2 linked regions of the Daphnia pulex genome follow. The protein of the gene in region 2 interacts with the protein of the main gene of each other region in a biochemical or structural test. Links are inferred from orthologs where the notes say so. Each region holds a gene or a part of one and is shown on either strand. Other genes may lie near its edges.

Evidence for each region.
Region 1: the proteins of polycomb protein eed-like (region 2) and nuclear inhibitor of protein phosphatase 1-like form a complex in vitro, tested with the Homo sapiens proteins (2 studies listed by BioGRID). The link is inferred for Daphnia pulex from reciprocal best matches to the Homo sapiens genes EED and PPP1R8.

The regions. Positions count from the first base shown.
Region 1 is NC_060026.1:2,727,181-2,731,392, forward strand, and holds nuclear inhibitor of protein phosphatase 1-like, read left to right. Parts: upstream 1-1,534; 5' UTR 1,535-1,581; coding exon 1,582-1,610; intron 1,611-1,675; coding exon 1,676-1,736; intron 1,737-1,821; coding exon 1,822-1,911; intron 1,912-1,982; coding exon 1,983-2,046; intron 2,047-2,111; coding exon 2,112-2,335; intron 2,336-2,395; coding exon 2,396-2,608; intron 2,609-2,682; coding exon 2,683-3,087; 3' UTR 3,088-3,092; downstream 3,093-4,212. Other genes in the region: carcinine transporter-like, read left to right, coding at 3,579-3,818, 3,876-4,013, 4,073-4,176. UniProt on the Homo sapiens protein: Inhibitor subunit of the major nuclear protein phosphatase-1 (PP-1). It has RNA-binding activity but does not cleave RNA and may target PP-1 to RNA-associated substrates. May also be involved in pre-mRNA splicing.
Region 2 is NC_060028.1:331,595-336,611, forward strand, and holds polycomb protein eed-like, read right to left. Parts: upstream 3,233-5,017; 5' UTR 3,043-3,232; coding exon 2,974-3,042; intron 2,891-2,973; coding exon 2,748-2,890; intron 2,688-2,747; coding exon 2,516-2,687; intron 2,452-2,515; coding exon 2,316-2,451; intron 2,231-2,315; coding exon 1,827-2,230; intron 1,744-1,826; coding exon 1,588-1,743; intron 1,470-1,587; coding exon 1,269-1,469; 3' UTR 1,002-1,268; coding exon of another isoform or gene 986-1,001; 3' UTR 984-985; downstream 1-983. Other genes in the region: eukaryotic translation initiation factor 1A, Y-chromosomal-like, read right to left, coding at 378-617, 685-872, 986-1,001; headcase protein homolog, read right to left, coding at 4,788-4,982. UniProt on the Homo sapiens protein: Polycomb group (PcG) protein. Component of the PRC2/EED-EZH2 complex, which methylates 'Lys-9' and 'Lys-27' of histone H3, leading to transcriptional repression of the affected target gene.

The sequences.
Region 1 (4,212 bases), on a different chromosome or scaffold from region 2:
TGCCGGGATATTATTGCGCTGGGCCCCGCCATCGTGTCGCAGGCATCAGCCCGGAAATCGTCCGTGACTTCCTCTTCAATGTGTTACATTTTTTTTGTTAGTTGGACAGGGCGAAAGAGAAACTCTTCTGTTACATACCAGAACTTTTCTTCGTATTGCTGAGAGACATTCCAGCGGACTTTCCCCAATCACCGACTGACAAGACGAATGGACAATAATTATTTAAAAATAAGCACCCCACCAAACACAGTCCGTCTACACGAGGACAGTACTTATGCAACTTTATTAGCTCTTGGACGATTTCAAACGACGTGATTTCCCAGTCAAAAAAAAAATTCTTTCTCTTGAATTTAGTTTTTGTTACGAAATGTGTGAGAAAAGCCATTTGGACTAATATTTTCTAATCTTTATGGTTCTATTTATAATCCATTCAAACTCCTTAGTCAAATTTACATGGGCGGTACATAAATCATATCTGGTGGGAGGTTTAATGATGGACACTAAAGAAAAATTTTGTCAATTAAACGAAGAAGAGATTACGTCCGGAATCAAAGTTTTAACGTGACCTAGAAAAAGCCTAAAAACTGAAATGTCAGGTGAACATTAAATTGTCTGACAGTCAACTTGTGACATTAGCTGAACCTGTGAGTGCTGCTCACTGTTCATACTGACATGAGTAACATCACCTGAACGCTGAGAATTTCCACTTGGGTGAGTTCTCAGACTTTAGGGTTGTACAGTATACACAAAACACCACGCACATGTGATGCATATGGAAATCCAAGTCGGGAATGAGGTGCTGAACTATTTTTTGGTGTCAAGCAAAGATTTCCACAGATTCGTAAACTTTTGTACTGTTAATTTAGTTATTCTAAATCTGGTGTTTTGAGCTTTTTAGAATCTGGACATTTCCACTGTACAATTAATTTTTTTTTCGTTTTTTTTCTTTTTATAAATGTAGGTTATTGTTCATTGTAAATTATAGTAAGAGTAAAAATATAAATGTTCTGGATTTAAACCAATTACGCAGTTCGCCAAGTCGTTAAATAAAACGAGCAGCCAAATGGTTTAATTAGACTCTGCTCCTCCTCCTTGACAGATGTCTAAATATATAGGGCATCATTCGTGTACTGCTGCTGGCTCAGTTTTATTTGACGGTATAATTTATTTCGGCGCAGAAAAGGAAAGGTGGTTCACCTGTTCTTTTCCAGTGTGTATTTATAATGCATTAACATCACATGTTGAAATTGACTCAAGTAAGGTGACGAATTCTATTTTTTGATAGGGAAAAGAGAAACTCCCGACCTCTTTGAATGTTTTTAAGCGCTTTCCACAATCATCGTTGACCAAAGAAAAGTTTTAAACCCAGCGCAGTATTATATTCAGTCTATACGACGCCAATGCTGAAGGTTTCATTATGTCCCATTCGTTAGTAACAATGTAGCACCATATTACCCGAGTGTGTTTGAATGCTTTACGACTTTGCCGCCTCTTTTACACGTATGTAGGTTATTATTTAATAAATCGCGCAATGTTGCAGCGTGCTGCCAGAAAAAAAGCTGTCAGAAAAAAAACAAAAAAATGGCGAATCACTATGAGATTCCAAATTGGTATTTAAACGCTTTAATAGGAAATGTGTAACGTACTGAAATAACCCCGATTTCTTTTTCTGCAGGGCTGGTAAACCGACGACTGGACTTCACCTTGATGTGACCAAAGATGGTAAACTTATCCAGGTAACATGCGTTTGTTAATTGCCGGCTTTGTTGATGGTTTTTTTTACCGGCTTGTATTTGTTTTTGTTCTTCGTGTTTCTTACAGAAATTGATGATAGATCAGAAGAAATGCTACCTCTTTGGCCGGAATCCTCAAATGTGTGATTTTTGTATTGACCATGCATCCTGCTCCAGGGTATGTTGTATCCTTCAAAATTATCACTTTGCATCTTTCGTTAATTTGTCGTCTGTCTTCATGATTCAAAGGTTCACTCTGCACTTGTGTGGCACAAGCATCTGAACCGTGCATTTCTTGTTGATCTGGGAAGCAGTAAGTTTATAACTTTGTCAAAAATTAATTGTTCATTGATCTAAATATTGTTTTCAAATATCCAGCCCATGGAACCTATATTGGTACTATGAGGATTGAAAGTGAAAAGCCTACCCAACTGCCAGTCGACAGCACTTTTCATTTTGGTGCTTCAACTAGATATTACATTTTGAGAGAGCGACCACAAAATGCCCCCAGACCGATCTTGGAAGAACTAGAAGAAGAAGCCAAAAGTGTTCACCAGGATGGAGGGAAACTTGGGCTTCCAGAATCAGAAATGGAGTTGGATGTGAGAGCCTTTTTATATTCAACTTTTTATGAAAATTTCACAAATGTTTGCTTTATCTAGAATCTGACTGAATTCAACACAGCTCATAATCGACGGATCTCAATGTTGGGTATTGCCGACGATGACGCAGGCAGCAGAATTGCCGCAGGCAAGAGAAAGAAGAGGTCGATCACTTTCAATGACGAAGAAGAAGTTATCAATCCGGAAGATATTGATCCGAATGTGGGAAGATTCCGCAATCTTGTTCACACTTCCCTCGTTATTCCTACTAAAGTAAATATTAAATAGTCTTCTAAATTCTGTTAAGTGGTGATATTAATTGTAAGTTTTCTTTCGTGACATTATAGCGGATTAAAAGCGAAACTTTAGCCAGTGGAACGATGTCAAGAGAGAACCAGTTCCACCGTTCTTTGTCAGCCTCGTCTGGAGGAGAAGGGCTGTACGGAGGCCTACCCCCTGAGATGGGTGAATCATCCCAGTCTCATTTAACATCTCAATCCGCGTCTTCTGGGCTCTTCTCTTCGACTTTAGCTTCAAAGTTGGGGCTTCCATTGATGCCTAACCCTGCCCCTGATGTCGATTTGTCCGCCCCAATGGAGCCAGCTGCCGCACCGGTCACTTCCCGGCTCAATGTCGAGTTTACACAACCTCCTGCGGTAGAGTCTGATCCTTCCTCCAACGGGCCCAAGAGAAAGAAATACGCCAAAGAAGCTTGGCCGGGTAAAAAGCCAGCACCCTCACTTCTTATGTAACGACAATTCACACCTCTACAACTTGTCATGTCATCACGTATTTTCCTCCTTTTTTTTTAAATAAAAGAAATTAACAAAAAACAACAACGAGATTTGAAATGATCGGCGACGTTGTAGGGATTCCTTGGAGAGAGTCATCGAAGGTGGTGGTCCTTTAGCCTGTTAAAAATTTTGACGCACGAGACTAATGTACTTTTAGGGATTCCACTGCTGCTGCTGCTGCTGACCGGATATAAGGGGAAGTCGGAGCCTACCCACGCCCTGGATTGCCTCTGTAATCAGCATGGGTCCATCGGCGACTGACGTTGATTTGCGGGTCTGGTTATTAGTGAACTTTGGTGTCTGAACTATTTCTCCCAATTGCTGCCGTACAGAATCCGATCGTGTGAAATCCACAAAGAGGTGAGTCTCTTCTGAAAAAAAAAAAAATCACATCCAGCGGATTGAATAGTTTACACGCGCCGGAATTTGAGCCACTGACGTGTCCGAAAATGGACGAGAAGAAAAGTTGGGATTTCGATGACCTACTGCCCTTTGTAGGCGAATTTGGACGGTACCAGAAGTTGCTTGTGTGGCTGGTTTGCCTTCCGGCATGCATTCCTTGCGGATTTCACGCTTTTAATCAGCTCTTTATGGCCAACGTTCCCGACCACTGGTGCAAAAGTCCGCCGGATGTGGATTCCCAAAACTGGAATTCCAGCGAATGGAAGATGACCAACATTCCTTACACGGTAATTACGTTAATTGAGTGAATTTACGAAGTGTTTAATCAATTTTGGGATTGACAGGTAAATGATGGAGTAATGGAGTTCAGCAAATGCACCATGTACAATTTTACGGAATCGGCCGACGGCAATAACGTTACCGAGTGCCTGTACGGATGGGAATTTGACAAGTCCATCATTTCTTCGTCGATTGTCATTGACGTAATGATTTTTATTTCCCCCCTACATTTTCTTTAAAATAATTAAATTTGCTTTTTCAGTTTGAACTAGTTTGCACTCGTAATCTTTACCCGACGATTGGACTTTCACTGTTAAACGTCGGAGGCATCATTGGCGTTTACATTTTTGGTGTTATTAGCGACAGGTAATTGGAATAGATTACGTAAATCAAGTTTAACCT
Region 2 (5,017 bases):
CAACCGTAACGCATAATCTCAACTAAATGAAAACCAGTTTTATTTTAAAGTCGTTTCCGCAGCGTTTTATTAGGACAGACAGATTGAAATCATACAAGCCGCCCATGGATGATGATATATTAAACAAATTTGCAAACAAAGTTTTAACGGGTGTCGATCTTTCCGTGATTTTTCTTTCTTTTTTCAAAATGAAGTAGTTGATTTTGCTGACAAAAAAAAAATGTTGAGGCTGTTGCTGCTGCTGCTTTAGGATGTAAAAACCTAAATTAGAGGTTTCTTCATGAACGATGAAATGTTGCTATGGAAAATCCAAGAATTTCCCGGATAGAGCTTTTGTTATTATTATGAACAAGAATTGAAAATCCTAAGTGAAGTGTTCATATGTCGTTAATGTCGTCGTCTTCGCCAGAACCAGAATCGTCGCCGAACTCGATGTCATCATCCAGGCCGTCGTCGACGAAGTTGACAGTATCTGTGACCTTGACTGTTTCTGGGATTTCACCATATGTCTTCAAGTTACGGGCTTCATCAGCGTTGTACTTGAGGATAACGTCAGCCTTGGCATCTTGGTAATCTCTCAGGCCAACCAGGATGATGTCACCCTGATTGATCCAGACCTGTCGAAAATAAAATAAAAAAAGATGATTGACAACTCAGAGTGCCACAACAACAATCGGGACTGACCTTCTTTCTGAGCTTCCCTCTGATGTGGCAAAGCCTCTTGGTTCCATCGAAGCACAAAGCTTCAAGTCGACCATTACCCAACATTTTCGTAACTTGTGCATATTCTTGGCCATCTTCTTTGAAGATCAATTCTCTTTTCTCAGCTTCGTTCTCGTTCTTTCCCCTCCTGCGATTTTTACCTCCTTTACCTAATAAGACAGAATCGGATCGGAAGAGAAAGTACGAATTATAAATCAATTAAAACAAACGACAAACACTTGAAACAAACTGTTCGGGAGATGCACGAACGGTTGAAACTCACCTTTATTCTTGGGCATGTTGAATTTCTCTGAGTAAACTAATAAAAAGCTGAGATTTCAACACACACATATGTCTCACCACGCCAGATACTCTCAATGGACGTGCTGAAAGGAAAGAAACACCAACTTCTGTTTAGCCCCTGGACGTCAACAACGTTGCCATTTTAATCAAATCGAATTAATTTCTTTTTATGGTGATTTTTACTTTTTTTTTTTATTTTTGACACATTCAGGTTGTTAAAAATGAAAAAAAAAGAAGAAGAAAAAGAATGTATGTATATATGATTAGAGAATACGATCCCAACGCCAGACGGTAGCGTCATCACAGACGCAAAGTAATACATGGCCATTACGGCTCAACGCAGTCTGACGAATAGCCGAGATGCATTTGGGATGTGTCAAAACTAAATGGCGAGATGCCATGGGGTCGTCAGTGTCGAGATCCCACACAAAAGTCTTGCCAACTTGATTGCCCAGCGCCATAACCTGTTTCCAAACGACCAATAAAAGTTAACAGAATTGAAATAAATTTAAATAAACACATGGTGCACTACAAAGTTCAGATGGTATCTGGCTTAAATTTCTTTGAAAAATCAAGACCCACCTTGTTCCAGGAATCCAGTGAGAATCGCATGAACCAGATGTCACATTCGCGATAGTCGAATCGGTGTAGTACCGTTACGGCGTTATTGTTCATGACTCGTATGCCATTGTTCGCCAAACGGCCAGGTCGCCAACAAACTATGGTATTCTCACACGACTAGACGATTAACACATAAAATAAAACAAAACATTAATTGCTTGAGAACGTACGAAAGAGGAAATAAAATTGAGAATTTATGCCTTTGACAGCACGAAATCGCCCAGCCAGCGGACACAGTCGACGTAATTGCGGTGAATGTCACGCGTCGAAAAGTTGGGGAAATTTTCTTGAACGGTAGCGAATGGCCTGGAACTTTTGCTCGGTGCAAACGTGTAGGAATCGCCAATGGCTTTTTCAATGGCGTCCGTGTCAAGTCGCCACAGTTTCAGCGAGTGATCCATTCCGCACGAGATAACCCGACGACCCTCCAGATCGAAATCGGCGCTGAGAACTTCGTCCCGATGGCCCTCGACACCGCCAAAAATTGCGATGCATTGATCGGTTCTTATGTTCCAGAGCCGAAGGGCGTGATCCTTGGAAACGGACAGAAGTAGATTGGGATCGGACGGGTGAAACTTTAATTCGTTGATGGCGTGTCCATGACCTATTAATTTTTATTTCAAAATAAAATTTTTATCTCAATTTTAGTACAAAGAGTTTCATTATTCCAATAAACGTCATCTGCTTACCGACGTAATGTTTGATGCTATTCATGGTAGCTGGGCTAATTATGCGAACAATTCCCCTGGATCCAGCAGCTGCCAGAATGGGTTTGCCAGTTTCTTCATCATAGGACCATGCACATGTGTAAAAGTTTTCTTCTATCTGTATTAGATAAATGGTGATTGATAAAATGATGTTATACAGGATGAGATAATTAAATAGTTACATCAGGGTCTGCGTACGTCTGGAGAAGCTTGATCCCTCCAGTATCTGGGCACTCGTACACTGATATCCTGTGACTGCCAACAGTTGCAAAAACCAGAGGTTGGCCATCCCTCAGCAAGTGATTGAATTGGACACCGAAAAGTGGTTGGCCATGATCTTCTTTGATAAAGGAGCTAAAAAAATTAACATTAATACAATTTAAAAGGAATTCAACAACACGAAAATCAAATTACCCAAATTTGTAGTTGATTTTTGGTATTTTGATGCCCTTCTTTCTGCCGGGCTTTCCCCGTTTTTTGGGTTTCAAAGTTGGAGTGTCACTCCTTGAGGCAGTATCCAAAGTTGAAGAACTGCCAATACTGCTAGCAGTATCCTCCTTTTCACGTGCCAATCGAGAAAAAACATTTTAAACCCAAGAATTCTATAGTTATAAACAGAAAGCAGTATCAAGCTGATTACCATGTCATCCCCTGAAAGTTCCACAGTTTCAGTGATATCCATTTGCTCGACTGATCGTTTTGACGCCATATTTAACTTGATCAAATACAGATAGTTAAAACAGATTTCAAGTATCCAAACTTTGGTTATTGTCTAAAAATGTGCTTGTTTTATTTCTGGCAGTTTCGAAAAGAATCCATAAACAAAGCCGACGACGCCGTTCCCGCCGATGGAAGCCTCTTCTGACCAATTTCGGAACTATTTGCAATTTCGCTTTTTTCTTTTTAAAAAAATATGAACGAACGTGAACGTGCGTGATAAAAAAAACTTTCAAGCGGAACAAATACTCGGGTACTCGAGTTACAAAGGATTTGGTCAAATAACATTTCGTTGTTTTTTAGAAAACTTTTGCTGGTGCGTTATTGGCGCTTGACGATATTTGATATTTTTATTATTAAAAGTTTGTCATTGATGGCTGGCAAAATATTTCCAGTGTTGAAATACTTTTTACGCTTTCCAAAAGGGTTTTCGGTGGAGGGTGAAAATCTAAAAATAGTAAAACTTCGTGGAAAAATCGAACGTAGCGGAACAGAAAAGATTTTCGCATCAGCGATTTCCCAATGTCTTGGAAGAAAAATGAGTGTGCATCACTTGACAACTGAATCTCCTGTTCTTTTTTCTTAGTAAAAAAAAAAAGAATTATATTAATTTCAAGAGAAAATTCCGACATCTTGTGCTGCCACCTAGCGGATTCCGCATTTTGCACACGCAACCACCTTGCCGGAGGGGAGGTGAAACCACAAACAACAAGAAGAAGAACCGCTTTTTATTTTTCTTATATATTTATAGAAAAACGTGCAAGCCCAATTTTTGTCCATCGTGACCGTCTTTTTAATTTTTCTTCAAGGTCAAAAATGTCAAACAGATTTTTTCAAAATTTTTCATATGAAAATATTAAGAAATTCTCAATTTTATTGTTCCACCAAAGAAAAATAATAAAACACAGAGCACATACGAGAAATTTATTTTCTGTGGTTATTAATAAACATTGACGACAATTAATAATATTTCAAAAAAGCCTGTTGATCTAGCTTTTTATACTTGAGTTGTCTAAATGTTTGTTTTAATCCCATCTTATTTTTCTCTCTAAGGACTTTTTTTATTCAATATATCATTATTATTTTAGCTAGAAAAAAAAAGGGAGAGGAATTTCATTCAGCTGCTTTGGCTGTCAGAATTCACGTGAAAACTAAAAAAAAAAGACGAAAAAACAGGTTTGTACTTGGTCCGTAGCGCCAACTCAACTAGAGACCCCGCCCTTTCCAGTTTATTTACCGGAGAAAACGGCGGATGGTCCTTGTTCACAACACACAACATTCTGCTGCTGCACAGCAAAAATTCTCACTAGTTCTTTTCTCTCTCTCGTGACATTCAAACGAACTTGAAAATACACATCCTCTTGCTTCACCAAGGACAAACACTTGATCGCTATTTATAATAAGAAAATTATGGGGTTCGTCAGAAGAAGAAGCTCTATCATTTTTTTGTAGTTTTTTGTGTAAAGTTATTAGCAAATATGTGATTGGTCGCCTATTCTTTCTCAAATGCCGCACCGAGTGTTTCCACACATACCAAAAAAAGCCGGCAGTTATATCGAAAATATGTAGCTAAATTATTATCCATTATTTAATTTTTTTTTTTCATTTTTTTTAATTCACTTTTGGATTTGGGGGGTTAGGTGTAAAATTATCAACCTAATTGTATCCTAACTCTCATCTCTCGATGTGTGGCCTATTCTTTTTTTTTTATTATTTTAATTTTTTTTTAAGTTTGTTTTAAATAGTCGGAGGTGTGGCGATTGCGTGTTGATCCCGACCGGATGATCGGAAGAGCTGGAACACGCTAGGCAGTGGCTTGACAAAATGGTGATCGTGACTGGCGCAGTGGGGACACGACAAATCGCGACTGTACTGCGAAAAGTTTTGAAACCTTTGCTCCGGCTGCACCACTAATCCGTTGCACTGATTACACTGGAGGTGCGAAAAATCAAACAAAGGAAATCATT